Linked DNA regions of Alligator mississippiensis. The protein of the gene in region 2 purifies or fractionates together with the protein of the main gene of each other region. This does not show direct contact. Links are inferred from orthologs where the notes say so. Each region holds a gene or a part of one and is shown on either strand. Other genes may lie near its edges.

Evidence for each region.
Region 1: the proteins of PPP4C (region 2) and DHX38 purify together in Homo sapiens (affinity purification with mass spectrometry; 5 studies listed by BioGRID and IntAct, with this or other methods). This does not show direct contact. The link is inferred for Alligator mississippiensis from reciprocal best matches to the Homo sapiens genes PPP4C and DHX38.

Annotation. Positions count from the first base shown.
Region 1 is NC_081833.1:77,516,842-77,524,394, reverse strand, and holds the start of DHX38 (pre-mRNA-splicing factor ATP-dependent RNA helicase PRP16), read left to right. Parts: upstream 1-4,547; 5' UTR 4,548-4,567; coding exon 4,568-4,986; intron 4,987-5,068; coding exon 5,069-5,262; intron 5,263-5,332; coding exon 5,333-5,443; intron 5,444-5,740; coding exon 5,741-5,900; intron 5,901-6,082; coding exon 6,083-6,201; intron 6,202-6,338; coding exon 6,339-6,415; intron 6,416-7,122; coding exon 7,123-7,278; intron 7,279-7,553. Other genes in the region: haptoglobin, read left to right, coding at 1,667-1,856, 2,518-3,362. UniProt on the Homo sapiens protein: Probable ATP-binding RNA helicase. Involved in pre-mRNA splicing as component of the spliceosome.
Region 2 is NC_081830.1:230,676-237,744, forward strand, and holds the start of PPP4C (serine/threonine-protein phosphatase 4 catalytic subunit), read right to left. Parts: upstream 3,012-7,069; 5' UTR 2,901-3,011; intron 2,665-2,900; 5' UTR 2,663-2,664; coding exon 2,565-2,662; intron 1,976-2,564; coding exon 1,924-1,975; intron 1,827-1,923; coding exon 1,776-1,826; intron 1,702-1,775; coding exon 1,600-1,701; intron 875-1,599; coding exon 701-874; intron 540-700; coding exon 413-539; intron 193-412; coding exon 3-192; intron 1-2. Other genes in the region: ALDOA (fructose-bisphosphate aldolase A), read right to left, coding at 3,818-3,913, 4,043-4,242, 4,485-4,659, 4,820-4,903, 5,102-5,262, 5,378-5,432, 5,611-5,822, 5,965-6,076. UniProt on the Homo sapiens protein: Protein phosphatase that is involved in many processes such as microtubule organization at centrosomes, maturation of spliceosomal snRNPs, apoptosis, DNA repair, tumor necrosis factor (TNF)-alpha signaling, activation of c-Jun N-terminal kinase MAPK8, regulation of histone acetylation, DNA damage checkpoint signaling, NF-kappa-B activation and cell migration.

The DNA.
Region 1 (7,553 bases), on a different chromosome or scaffold from region 2:
GCCCTGCCCTGAGCTGCTACCTCTGGTATTGTCCTCAGTGCTCAGCTGTCTTTCCCTGGGCTGGGGTCTCTTGGGCCTGGCCCTGTGTGGGGCTGGTGGTATCTCCCCAGCTCGGGGGCTGCATAGGGTCTCTGCCTCCTGCCATTAAACTTGGTGCTTGCTCACTCCATGGGCCTCATCCTTCCTTTGCTGCTGCTCCATGCCTTCCCTGGGCCCTGTGCTCGTGGCTCAGCAATGGGGAGGAGGGGGGCCCGCATGGGCCTGGCAAGGAGATCCCTGAGCAGGAAGGACGGGGGCCCTGGCATGGCATCTGAGGGGCTCTCCTACTTTCCTGCTTCTGCTGCGAGGGGGGTGGGCAGGCCTGTGCCCTCTATCCGGTGCCGACGGGCTGCGGGTCAGCACTTCCCCAGGCGCTGGTTCCGTGTGCGAACGGCTGCTCGTAGCGCAGGGGCCTGGTGGGAGCTCTGCCTGTTGCAGGCTGCGTCGGCCTGGTGGGCCTCAGCTGAACACGGACAGGCCAGGTCTGCTCCACCTGCGGTCAGCACAGGGCAGTTGGGTGAAGGGGGCTGGGATGCAGCCCATGCTCAGCTCCGCACAGCTGCTGTCGTGCTGCCCTTGGGGTGTGAGACGCCCCAGCCCCAGCAGGCTCCCACCCGGCTGTAGGCTCTGTCGTGGCCTTGACCAGGAGCTTGCTGTGGGCAAAGGAGCTGCCCTTTCCCTGCGCTACCTTGCCCAGTTCCCCAGCCCCCAGGCATAACCACCTCTAGCCTGGTTTGAGCTGTGGTTGCTGCCTCTTTCAGCCTATCCCAGCTGGCCTGGACTCCATCTGCACTGGCCCAGGGCTCCTGGAGCTTGTTTCCACATCCCTTCCTTGCTGCAAGCCCTGGATCCACTGTCCTTTTTGCCGCCGGGTGATCACTGGAGCCACAAGACCCCCGCCACACAAGGCCAGGGGTGCTGCACCAAGCCCCCAGCCCTATTGGGCTGCAGGGATGGTGCCACAGGGCAGAGGCGGAGGGATGGGCCCTGGCACAGAGCACTGCGCCAAGGCTTCCTGGCAGCCCCTGTGCCAGGTGAGCCCTGCAGCTGCGGCAAAACAGCACCAGCTGCCCCAGACCGTTTGGCACCCAGTAGGGGAAGGGATGGGAACATCCTTGCGCTATAGTTCCCAGAGCAGACAAAGGGAAGAGCACCTCCCCCCATTCCCCTGTGCGGCCAAAAATCACTCTTTTGCCAGTTCCCAAAATGAGCACAGCACGTCCCGATCTGAGCAAACGCCAGACTGGGGCCAGCTGAGCCGGGTGCAGGGGAACAAGGACATGCCTATTGCAGCCCCCTTGCCCCCGGCCTGGGACCCTGGGCTGGCAGTGGGGCAGGCTGGGCTGTGGGTGCCCCTGTCCTTAGCAAGCAGACATCCTCTCCCAGGGCCCTCACTGACCCTGTGGTTCTACCATGAGGAGACCACTCTGGAGGTGTTGAGGGTGGGCTCACCTCCGGGCCCTGCCAGCTGGGCACAGGGCTGAGCTACTGCACCCTTCCTGGACCTGCTGTGCAGCCAGGCGTGGTGGCAAGGGGCCTGGCCTGGTCATGCTCCCAGCTCGGTGCAGAGGAGAGATCTGAACCCAGGTTTCCCAACCATCCCACCCCCCCGGGTCCCCTTTGCCCCATGCATCAATTCCGGGCAGTGCCAGGGTGCTGCAAGCACCTGGGCAGCTGGCCACATGTTTGTTTGTGGCTCACTGCTGGGAAGGTCACTGCCCGGGCAAGGCTGCATTGGGGGATAAAGGCAGCGTGGAGGGAGCCCCCCTGCACAGGCAGCCGCAGCAGCCAGAAGAACAGCAAGCCACAGCTATGGGGTGAGTGCTGCAGCTGCTCTGGGGCCCAGGGGATAGGGTCTTCAGCTGCTGGGGCCGCGGGAGGGTGTGGTAGGCACTGGGGGAGGCTAGGACATGTGCTTTAGGCAGTAAGCGACTTCCTGGAACAACTGCGCCCCAGCCGTGGCACTGCTGTGGGGAAGCCTGCAGCACTGTGCCTCAGCAGGTTACAGTGGGCTGAGCAAGCCCCAAGCTCACGGGACCCAGGGGACGGGAGGATTCTCAGCCCGACACCAAGGGCCCGGCAGCTCTGCTCACACAGCTCTTCTCACAGAGCCCCGATGCTGCTGATCGCCACTTTGGTGTGGGGGGTGCTTGCCACCGCCAGCGAGGGCCCAGACACACAAGGTAGGGGCAGGGGCCTTGGCGGGAAGGGGCTGGGCTGGGTAGGAGGACTTGTCTGCCCCACCGGCCAGCGCTGCCAGGTGAGCCCGGGGGGTCGGGGCAGGGGCTGCCCAGCATCTGTGGGCCCGCCTCGCTGCTGCTGTCACTGTGGGGTGCAGTGGAGCGGATCCACTCCCGGAGGGGCTGCTGCCTGTCCCCAGTGTCCCCTGCTGGGACCTGGCAGTGCAGGAAGGAGGGTGCCTGGGGGGCCGTGGGGGCCATGTGCCAGCTGCAGCTGACGCCGGTGCTTGCCCCGCAGCGTGCGGGAAACCCAAGAACTCGCCGCAGCCGTTGCAGCGCATCATCGGTGGCCGTATGTCCGGCAAGGGCCTGTTCCCGTGGCAGGGCCGGCTGGTGTCGCCACACAACCTCACGGCAGGGGCCACGCTCATCAGTGACCAGTGGGTGCTGACCACAGCCAGGAACGTCTACCTGGGGCAAAACGCATGCGCCAGCCCTGAGGACATCGCCCCCACCCTGAAGCTCTTCCTGGGCAACAGGGGACAACTGCCCGCGGGCGCCGTGGAGCGTGTGGTGCTGCACCCCAACTTCAACTCCACCGACTGCAACGCCACCTCCCACTGCAACGCCACCTCCAACTGCAACGCCACCTCCAACTGCCACGCTGCCCCCGGCACCGGCACCGACCTGGCACTGCTCAAGCTGCAGCACCCAGCGCCGCTGGGGCCTGAGGTGCTGCCCATCTGCCTGCCGCAAAAGGACTTTCTGGAGGTGGGGCGCGTGGGCTACGTGGCAGGCTGGGGCAGGGGCGCCACCCTGGCCTTCGCCGAGTGGCTGCGCTACATCATGGTGCCCGTGGCTGACACCAGCCTCTGCGCCAAGTACTACGCGGACGGTGGCCCCATCGGCGTGGCGCCCGACCTGGGCCCCGACAGCTTCTGCGTGGGCATGAGCAAGCTGCGTGAGGACACCTGCCACGGGGACGCCGGCGGCGCCTTCGCCGTGCACGACCCCGACGACGACACGTGGTATGCGGCCGGCATCCTCACCTACGACCGCACCTGCTCCGCCGCCAAGTACAGCGTCTACGCCAGCGTGCAGCACGCCCTGGCCTGGATCCGCCAGACCATGGACGAATCCTAACCCCCCCACCCCCACATCGACCAATAAACCTTGTGCTCTGCCAGCCCTGCGTGGTCTCTGTGCGGGGTGGCTGGACGGGGGGGGGGGGGGGGGGGATCAAGTGCCCCGGTGCTGTGGGGGGGGGAATCAAGTGCCCCAGTGCTGTGGGGGGGGAGGAAATCAAGAGCCCCAGTGCTGCGGGGGGAGGGGGGGGGAAATCAAGTACCCCGGTGCTGCGGGGGGGGGAGGGGAAATGAAGCGCCCTGGTGCTGCGGGGGGAGGGGGGGGGAAATCAAGTGCCCCGGTGCTGCGGGGGGGGAGGGGAAATGAAGCGCCCTGGTGCTGCGGGGGGAGGGGGGGGGAAATCAAGTGCCCCGGTGCTGCGGGGGGGGGGGGGGGTGATCAAGTGCCCCGGTGCTGCGGGGGGGGAGGGGAAATGAAGCGCCCTGGTGCTGCGGGGGGAGGGGGGGGGAAATCAAGTGCCCCGGTGCTGCGGGGGGGGGGGGGGTGATCAAGTGCCCCGGTGCTGCGGGGGGGAGGGGAAATGAAGCGCCCTGGTGCTGCGGGGGGGGGGGGGGGGGAAATCAAGTGCTCCGGTGCTGCGTGGGGGGGGGGGGGAATCAAGCGCTCCGGTGCTGCGTGGGGGGGGATCAAGCGCCCCGGTGCTGCGGGGGCGGGCGGGTACCGGTGCACCGAGGCCCGGGCTCTTCCCCAGGATCGGGCGGGTCGAGGGTCAGGGGCCCGGTGGCTTCCTCCAGCCACCGGCCCCGCCCCGCCCCGCCCCTAGACTGCCCCCGGCCCCGGCCCCGCCCCCAGGTACCCCCCACATAGTCCCGTCCCCGGAACGCCGCGGCCCCACGCGACGCCCCCTGCCGACTGGGAGCGAAGGGGTGCTGCTGCCTGCGCATGCGCACTGCCAGGTACCCCCCCCCCAGGGGGCGGACCGCGCTAGGGTCCTCCCTAGTCGCCCCGCGGCCTCTGTAGTGTCGGGCCGGGCGGCCTGTTCCGTCTCTATGGTGCTGGCGGACTCCAGTGCGGGCCTCTGTACCCTCCCTCGGACTCGATGGTGTTGCGGATCCAGGCCGCGTCTCTATGGCCTTGGCTGACTGGGCCGCAGTCCTCTCTAGCCCCGCCCCGCGCTCTGTGGTGCCGGCGGACAGAGTGGCTGCATCTCTATGGTGCGGGGTGGGCAGAGCGCCGCTGCCGCGCTGCACTGTGGGGCGGGCATGGCGGCGCCGGGCGCTGAGGCGATGGCGGAGGCGGAGGCGGAGGTGGAGGAGCCGGAGCCAGAGCGGGAGCGGGAGCCAGGGCTAGAGCCAGAGCGGGAGCCGGAGCCGGAGCCGTCGCTGCACCGGCTGGAGGGCAGCGGTGCCGAGGAGGGCGGGCTGGTGCTGCGCAAGCACGGCGCGGCCGGCCCGGGCGAGCCTCACGTCTTCCGCGCGCCGCGCGCCTCCCTGCTGGGCCTCGACGTGCTGGCGGCCCGGCGGCGGCGGGAGCGCGCGGGGCCCGGGCCCGGGCCGGGGCCGGCCGAGCAGGCGAAGCGGCCGCGGGGCGCCGGGGACGGGCCGGGGCCGGAGCCGGAGGAGGAGGCGGCGGACGCGGACGCGGGCAGCGCTGGGCCCGGCCGGGGCGGCCGCAGGGACAGGTGCGGGGGGGGCGGGTGTTGCTAGGAGACGCGGGGGGGTTGCTAGGAGACGCGGGGGCCGCGCTGACGGTGCCGCCCGCAGGCACTACCGCTGCGCGCCCGCGGAGACGCCGTCGCACCCGGGCGGGGTGAGCGAGGAGTTCTGGGAGCGCAGCCGGCAGCGCGAGCGGGAGCGGCGCGAGCAGGGCGTCTTCGCCTCCTCCAAGGACGACAGGGAGCGCCGGCGCGAGCGCGGCCGCGACCGGGACCACGACCACGACCGGCAGCGGGAGCGCGGTGAGTGCTCGGCGCGGCGGGGGGGGGGGGGGCGGCTCCCGCGCGGCGCTTGACGGCGCTTTCCTTGCAGAGGAGCGCGACAGGAGCCACCACGGCAGCAGCCGCTCGGAGCGGGACGGCTGGTCCGAGAGGAGCGGCAGCAGGAGGAGCGAGCCGGAGAGCCCCCGGCATCGGCCCAAAGGTAGCGCGGGCGACGGGGACGGGGGTGGGGCGCTGGGGCGGTGGCCTGGGCCCGCTTGGAGGCGCGATCCATCCCCGCGGGGGAGCTGCAGCCCTTGGGGGAGCACGCCGCCCGCCCCGCCCCGTCTTGGGGGGCCCCACGCGGGGCTGCTGCCCCTCCCCCCACACGAGGTCCGTGCTTCAAGCGCGCCGGGGCCCTGCGTAAGCAACGCCAGGCCCGGCCTGCGCTGCCTGCGGGAGTCCCCGAGCCCGGGTGGCAGGGGCTGCGTCCGGCGTCAGAGATCCGCTCCCCTCCCAGATGCCGCCACGCCGTCCTGCTCGAGCTGGGAGGAAGATGACAGCGGCTACAGCACCTCGCGCCGCTCGCACTGGGAGTCGCCTTCACCTGCACCTTCCTGCCGGGACCGTGGCCACCGCACGCCCTCCTCGCGGGACACGGACAGGAGGGATCGGGAAAGGTGCTGGAGCGAAGCCTGGGTGGGGGCAGAGGTTGGGGCAGGCGGAGACGGTGGGGAGGGGGCAGCTTCGGGGAATGCCCCGTGGAGGTGCTGAGGGGCGGCAGGTGCCTGCCTTGCAGGAGGAGGAGGAGAGTGCTTGGGCTGCTAACCAGCAACGCTCCTCCGTGCTGGTGCTGTCCCAGGTCTGTGAGGAGCAAGTACCCAGACAGGACACCGCTTCCTACTCCTTCGTACAAGTACAATGAGTGGGCAGACGACCGCAAGCACCTGGGCTCCACGCCGCGGCTGTCTCGGGGGAAAGGTGAGGGGTAGGGAGATGGGGCTCTGGGGGCCTGACTCCTCTCACGGGAGGCACAGCCAAGAAGTTGGCTGCTTGGGCTCTCAGCAAAGGTCTGGCACTTGCGAGGGCTCCGTGCTGATCAGCTTGTTCTCCCTCAGGGAGGCGCGAGGACGGGGAGGAAGGGATTGCCTTCGAGACGGAGGAGGAGCGACAGCAGTGGGAGGATGATCAGCGGGTAAGAGCCTGGGAGGGAGGGGTGCTGCATGTCTCTGGGTCTGAGGCCCTGAGCCTGGAGCTTTGTCCCAGCGGGGTGGCACCAGGGCTGTCGGGGGAGGTGTCCCCTTGAAGCCTGCTGGGCACAGCTAGGGCCAGCATGGGTGCGTGAGGCACCAGGGCTGGTATTGCAGTAGCAGGTGCCTGCATGAGGAGAGGGGGTCGGTGCGGCATCGGCTGTGGCTTTTGGAGGAAAGGCTGAGGTGTGGGCCCTTTAGTACACTGGGATGGGGCAGGGATGGGTGGGGCGAGCAAGTGTGGCTTGGTGCAGAGCTCAGGCAGTGTGCTCATGGCGTGGGGGTGCTTGCAGCATGGGGCCCTGGGGGAGGGGCCGTCCCAGGGAACAGGAGGGGCTGGCGGCCTGCACGGGCTGCCTGGGGATGGCGGGGGTCGGCCCGCACAGGTAGCCGCCTGGGTCCTGTCCTGGGTCCTGCGCGAGCCGTTGGCTCCCCCGCGTGGCCAGCCTGGGCACAGCACCTCTGCCGTGTTTCCGTGTGGTGGCTCGGTGCAGACGTGGGACAGCCCTCTCCAGGCGCCCGGCTGCACGCTCCCGGGTTGGAAGTCCCCAGCCTCCAGGTGCCTGCGCGTGGGCAGGATGCGCAGCCTCCTGAGTCCTCCGGCTTTTCCCTTCTGCCTGCCCCTCTCCCCCTGGCTGCCACGTGTGCACAGCAAGCCGACCGGGACTGGTACATGATGGACGAGGGCTACGACGAGTTCCACAATCCCCTGGCCTACTCATCGGAAGAGTATGTGCGGAAGCGGGAGCAGCACCTTACCAAGCAGAAGCAGAAGCGCATCTCTGCACAGCGGAGGCAGATCAATGAGGTAGGAGTCGGTCCTGGGCCGGGCCAGGCTGACTCCTGGGGAGCCGGCCTCACCACCTGTTCAGCCAGTGTGTGCATGCGTGTGTATATGCACAGGGGTTGCAGCTCTGTGCTGGGTTGGGGCTGGATCGTAAGAGGATCTGCAGGTGTCGTGGATGCCTCGGCTAGGCAGACCTGGCAGTTCTGGTTCCTTGGCGGTTGGTTCTCCAGCTCCCCAGCCCTTTCTAGGGCCGTTTTCTGGATTCCTCCCTGGACCAAGATTTTCCTGCTAATGAG
Region 2 (7,069 bases):
ACCTGTAGCAGTAGTTGGGGGCCGACCAGACTGTGAGCACAGTCTCATTGAAATGCCACTTGTAACCCTCCATGACGAGCTGGTGTGCTCGGCAGATCATGTCGATGTCGTTGGATGCGTTGAACTGGGCCACCACATCACTGCCAAACAGGTAGCCGGCCCCCCGCGGGCTCACGCCCCAGCCCGTCGTGTCTGCAAGGCAGGGACAAGGCCCGTTATGTGTGGCCACTAGCACCACCCACCCCAGAGCCAGCTGCATGGCAGGGTGCTGTTACAGCCAGCTGCCAGCACCACCCACCTGCAAGCTGCTCGCATCACTGGGCTGACCAAGCCCTCTTGGGCAGCATCACAGCCTGCTGTTCCCATCTGCCCCACCCCAGAGCTGGCTGCATTGCTGCCCCCTCCATTGTACCTTCAGGGTCAGACCAGAGCAGGTCACACATGGGGCCGTCGTGGGGCACCTCCTGCTTGCGGTCGATTGTGCGGATCTGGTCCAGCGTCTGGATCGAGGGCGACAGTCCCCCATGCACGCAGAAGATCTGAGAGGGCAGGGAAGAGGGGGCATGGGTCAGGCAGGGGAATCCCAGACCAGAGGCTAAACCATTGCCCGCTGGAAAACCCAAGTGTCCAGGCTCCCACTGTTCAGCCCCCTGCTCTTCCCCCACAGGGAACCCAGGTCTCTGGGAGCGGGGTGGGGCACCTTGCCGTCGATGATGGCTGAGAGGCTGAGGTAGTCGAAGATCTCGGTGCAGTAGCGCCACACAGTGACGGAGCCGTACTTGCGCAGACACTCATCATAGAAGCCATAGACCTGCGTGATCTGCCGGCTCTCATGGTTGCCGCGGATCAGCGTGATCCGGTCTGGGTACCGCACCTGTGGAGGCCATGGGGGGGGGGGTTTACACTTGGCCACCAGCACATCCCACCCCAGAGCTGGCTGCTTTCTGCAGCCTGTTACACTCGGCTACCAACGTGCCCCACCCAGAGCCATCTGCAGTGCTCAGGCCTGCAGGCAGCTGGTTCTAGGGTGGGACGCATTGTAGTCAGCTGCCAGTATGTCCCACTCCAAAACCGGCTGACAGCAGATGAGTACAGGAGAGCTGAACAATGCAGCTGACTCTAGGGTAGAGCAAGTCAGCAGCTGAGTATAACAGGCCCAAGTGCTGTAGCTGGATCTGGGGTGGGATGCGTCAGGGGCCAAGTATAACATCCCACCCTACAGCCCGCAGCACTGTTCAGCCCTATTATACCCGGCTTCACCCACACCCCCACAAAACCAGCTGCACCGCCCAGGCCTCTTATACTTGGCCACTTAAACACCAGGCCCCAGAGGTAGCTGCAACGCTGGCCCCTGTGGTACCTGGCTGCTGCCACAGGATGCTTCAACCCCAGGCCCAGCCGCCTCAGTGCCTGTGACACCCTAGAGCCAGCTCCAGCCTGAGGGCACAAGTCTTCCTGTCCCCAGTGGGGCCCAGCCCAGAGCCGGCTGCATCCGTCCCCCAAGCCTCCCCTGCCAGCTACCCCCTGCAGCCGCCCTGCCCCAGAGCATGCCAACCCCAGTTGTGTGCCCAGTGCCCTGGGGGGGCTGGGGGCATCTACCTTGAGCGCCAGCAGGAGCAGGAAGGTCTCGACGCTGTAGAAGCCGCGGTCCACAAAATCCCCCATGAAGAGGTAGTTGGTCTCGGGGACGTCGCCGCCCACCTGGGGGGCAGCAGGGGTAAGGGGGGGCCTGCAGTGGGGGGGGCAGGGTGGAGTTTGTGGGGGGCAGGACTCACCCGGAAGAGCTCTTTGAGGTCATAAAACTGTCCGTGGATGTCACCGCAGACCTGGGGGGGGCAAGGGGGGGGGGTGAGACAGGGCAGCCCTGATGCCCTCTGGCCTAGACCCTCCTGGCCCAGGGACCCCTGCCCAAGCCCCGCTCACCGTCACTGGGGAGTCCACCCGCTGCACGTTGCTCTCCTCCACCAGGATCTCCCTAGGCAGGGAGAGGCAGGGACACCAGTTATTCATGGCCTTTGCCCCCGTGTCCCCCAGAGCCAGCGCCCCGCGGGGCCCGTCCTGCCCCCGTGTCCCCCAGAGCCAGCGCCCCGCGGGGCCCGTCCTGCCCCCGTGTCCCCCACAGCCAGCGCCCCGCGGGGCCCGTCCTGCCCCCGTGTCCCCCACAGCCAGCGCCCCGCGGGGCCCGTCCTGCCCCCGTGTCCCCCACAGCCAGCGCCCCGCGGGGCCCGTCCTGCCCCCGTGTCCCCCACAGCCAGCGCCCCGCGGGGCCCGTCCTGCCCCCGTGTCCCCCACAGCCAGCGCCCCGCGGGGCCCGTCCTGCCCCCGTGTCCCCCACAGCCAGCGCCCCGCGGGGCCCGTCCTGCCCCCGTGTCCCCCACAGCCAGCGCCCCGCGGGGCCCGTCCTGCCGCCCCAGAGCTCTGTTCTATGCAGACAGCAGCCGGGCCCCCCAGAGCCAGCCGCACTGCGCGAGCTCTTGACCCGAGCCCCGGTGCGGGCTCCCCAGAGGCGGCTGCGATGCAGGATCCCCCTTACGCGGCGCCCCCAGCCCTGCCGCCCCGCTCACCGGGCCTTGGCGCACAGGGCCTTGACCTCGCTCTCCTTGATGAGCTCGCAGCGCCGCAGCTGCTCGATCTGCCGGTCCAGGTCGCTCAGCTCCGCCATGGCTGGGGGGCAACGCGGGGTCGGGGTGAGCGCGGCCCGGGCCCCCGCGCAGGGCCCCACAAGCACCCCCGGCCCCGCACGCTACCCAGGAGCTGCCCCCAGGCCACGCTGGCCCAAGCTGCCCCCGGAACCGGCCCCCACAGCCTGACCCGCCCCGGGGGCCCCGGAACTGCACCCCCCCCGGCCCGGATCCTTGCCGCTGCGACGCCAGCATATGCACCACCCCCCCCCCCCGCACCTGGTCCCGGCGGCGGCCCCGCGTCGCACCGGTTCCCACCGCTCGTGGCCCCGCCCCCGCCGGCGCGACGTCACGTCCGGACACCCCCCTTCCTCCACAACCGGAAGGAGGAAGGCCTGAGAGACGGGCGGGAAGTGACGCATTTGGGACGTCTAAGGGAAGAAAGAAAAGGTGAGGGACAGGAAGCGACGTCACGGTGAGGGCGGAAGTAACGGTAAAAGCGTATGCTACGCAAACAGCCAGAATGAAGTGTAGGGCCGGGCGGAACTGACGTGTAGAGCCGAAATGCCACGGGAAATGAGGGGGCGCATGATGAATGACATCAGAGCCAGGGCGGAAGTGCTACCCAGGCACCCGTCACGGGGCGGAAGTGGCGGGGAAGGGGAGCGAGGGATGGGCGAAGGTGATGTCACCCGAGCGTGGATTCCTGTGCCCTAGGCCGAGCATGTGACGTCAGCAAGCAGGGGCCTGTGCCAGGACAGGCTACTCGGGCAGGGACATGCATTCCCTCTGCTGCGGTCACGTGTGGGGGACACAGGCCAGAACCCTGCCCCCCCCCCACCCTGGCTCCTTTCCCCTCCTGGGGGCCAGAGGGGCCCACGGCCTAGACCCCCGAAACCCGCACCCCCGAGGCCCAGGAGCACAGGACACATATCTTCATGAATTCATTTTATTCAGTAACTCAGTGTAGTTAGGGCCTCGCCCGCCCCCACCCGGAGACCGGGCAGCTGGAGGGGGGGCGGGAGCCGGAAGTGTTGCTCACCAGGGGGAGGGGGAGGGGGGGAGGGGCCGCCCGGAGGCCGGGGTTCTTGTGCCCGCTGGTCTCTGCCCCAGTCGGGTCCAGGTGAATATAGTTGCAGCCCAAGTTGGGAAGGGGATGGGGGAGGGGCGGGGGGCAGGCAGGGTGGAGCCGCAGCCTAGTAGGCATGGTTGGAAACGAAGAGAGACTCCTTGGAGGCAGCACCGGCCTGGCCGCTGCCGGCGTACTTGCCCTGGCAGGCGAGGCTGTTGGCCTGCAGAGAGACGGACAGACAAGACAGGTCAGAGCAGCACAAAAAACCCAGCGTCCAGGCTCCCCTCCCCCACCCCCTCTGCAAGTCAGAGGTCACTCTCCCCCCGCCGCGGGCCAGGTCAGTACGCACCAGAGCGCGCTTGACGTACTCCTCCTGGGCCGCCTTGGTGTTCTCCTTCTTGCCGCCCCAGGCCTTGAGGGCTGAAGCCTGCAGCGCCCGCCCGTAGGAGAAGGTCAGGGCCCAGGGCTTGTGCAGGGGGCACTTGTTGATGGCATTGAGGTTCAGAGACGCCTCCTCCTCGCTCTGCCCCCCGGACAGGAAGGTGATACCTGTGAAGGGGGAGGGAGTCAGTGCCGGCGTGACACAGTGCTCGCGGGGTTAACAGGCTGGGCTGGAGCAGGGGACCCTGGGCATAGGCACAGCACCCAGGGGGTTAATGGGCAAGGGGGTGGAGTCAAGGAGATGGTGGAGCCTCCCCTACCCTGGCTTGCATGCCCAGAGCATGGCTGTCAGGGGTGAGATAGGGAGCAGGGCCACAGGGGGTGAAGCCAGGGGCAGGCCCAGGTCTCACCGGGCACAGCAGGTGGCACGGTGCGGCGCAGCGCGGTGATGGTAGCCATGGCGATCTCCTCATGGCTGTACTTGGTGGTGCAGGCGTGCCCAGGTGTCACCATGTTGGGCTTCAGCAGTGACCCCTCCAGGTAGACATGGTGGTCACTCAGCGCCTTGTACACAGCCGCCAGCACCTGGGGGGGGGCAGGACTGGTCAGCACACCACCCACATCCACTGCTGCATCTTCCCTCCAGCTCCTCCAAGAGGCGGGGCTCCTTCTGGCCACACCCCCCAAAGATCTCCCACCTCCCAGCCTCTGGTAAGTGCCCCCTCACTGCAGTGACCCCTCTCACCTTCTCGGTGACGTGCTGGCAGCGCTTCAGGTCATGGTCGCCATCGGGGAGGATCTCGGGCTCCACGATGGGCACAATGCCGTTCTAGAAGGACATGGGGGGAGGTCGGGATGAGCCTGTTAGCCCTGACCCCAACCCCCAGCCCCACCTACAGCCCCTCTAGCCCCACCTGCTGGCAGATGCTGCCTGTGCCCTTCTGGCTCTGCCCTCAGTCTTAGCCCCACCCCCTGCTAGCTCCTGGGAGAGGAAGTAGCCCTGCCCCCAGCCCTGCCCCACGGCCACCTGCTGGCAGATGCTGGCGTAGCGGGCCAGCACATTGGCATTCTCCAGGATGGCGAGGCGTGAGGGCGTGTGGGGCCCGATCTTGAGCACGCAGCGCCACTTGGCGAAGTCGGCCCCATCCTTCTTGTACTGGGCACAGCGCTCAGAAAGCCCGTCCAGGCCTGGGGAGGGGGATGAGGCTCAGGACCCAGGCATTTGGGGAAAACCCCGCAGACATGCCTGTCCTGCCAGATGCAACCACTCCCAGCCCCGAGACCCTGGTGTCCAGGCACTCACCTTGGGTGGTGGTCTCCCCATCGGTCCCGGCCAGGGCCACCACGCCCTTGTCCACCTGCGGTGGGGGAGAGGGAACCTCATCAGTACTGCCCCGACCCCTGGCCTCCACTCCTCACTCCTGCACCCCAACTACCAGGTTCAAGGTAAAAGCCTCCTGAGACCTCCAACCCCGGCCCCCTCCCCCCCCCCCAATAGTCCCCATGACCACCTTGCCCACCCCCCCGGGGGCCTACCTTGATACCAACAACGCCGCCCTTGGCCTTGATGACCTGGGGGAAGGTGCGCCCATCGTCGGCCTTCTGGTAGAGGGTCTCGTGGAAGAGGATGACGCCGCCAATGCAGGGATCCACGCGCGCGTCGGCCGTGAAGAGCAGCTGCCGGTACCAGCGCCGGTTCTCCTCGGTGTTCTCTGCCCCGATGGAGCTCAGGCGCTTGGCGATGCTGCCTGCAGGGGGGCGGGTGGGGGTTAACACAGGGGGCCCTGCAGTGCCCCGTGCCTCCCACTCCCGCCCCGCAGCCCCCCCCCCCCGTGCCCCACACTCCCGCCCCGCAGCCCCCCCCCCGTGCCCTGCACTCCCGCCCCGCACCGGTGGACTCATCGGCGGCCAGGATGCCCTTGCCGGGCGCCACGATGCGGTGGGCGATGTCCGCCAGCTCCTTCTTCTGCTCGGGCGTCAGGGCCGGGTGCGGGTGCGGCATCTTGGCGGCTGCGGGAGCGCAGGGGTTACGCGCGGGACGTGCGGCGCGCGGCCTTCCGCATGGCCGCTTCCGGCCCCCCCTGGGCGGGACCCGGGCGTCGGGGGGGGGTCGTGGCCGCGGGTGGGGGCAAGTGTCCGGGGGGGTCGTGTGCCCGGGGCGCGGGCGGGACCGAGGGGGCCGGGGCGGGAGGGGGGGCGATGGCAGCCCCCGGGCCCGCGTGCCCGAGCTCCGCGCGGCGGTGCCGGGAGTCAAGGTCGCTCCAAGGGCGGGGGGGGCAGGGAGCCAGGCGCCCGGCCCAGCAGCGCCCCCCCGGCGCTTCCCCCCACCCCGACGCCCCCCCCCCGGCCCGAAGCCCCCCCGGCCCGACGCCCCCCCCAAGCCAACCTGCGGCAGCGGCGGCGGCGGGATCGACTGCGCTGCCGCGTGGGGCTGCGGCGGGCTAGGGGCTGGGGGCGGGGCGCCGCGCCGACGTCACGCGCGGGCGCGGCCGGGGGGCCACGCCCCTGCTGCCCCCGGGGCTGCCCTGGGGCTCCCCCACGCCGTGCCCCGCCCGCGCAGTGACGTCCCGGGGGCGGGGCCTGGGAGGCTCTGGGGTTGCGTCACTGCACCCCCCGGCCCGCCGCGCGTGGGTTTCGCGCTGACCTTTGCGGGGGAAACCCGATCCCCGCCAAGGGCGCCGCGGGGCCCGCGCTCGCGGCCTGCCCCCGCCGCCCCGGCCCCGTGCCCCCGCCGCCCCGCAACGCCCCCACCTACAGCCCCGCTATGGCGCCTGCCCCGCGGCCCCAGGCCGCCCCGGCGCTGCCCCACGTCCGCCCCAACCCCCCTGGACACCGCCCCAGCGCCCTGCAGACAGGGCCCTCCTGCCCGCCCCCCCGTGCCCGAGCACGAGCCCGAGCCCCGCCGTGGGCCGCCCCTCACCTGGCGGGCGGGCGGGCGGGGCAGGGTCTGGTGGCAGTGCCGGGCGGCCGGTGCGGGGGCTGCGGGCGACCCCCT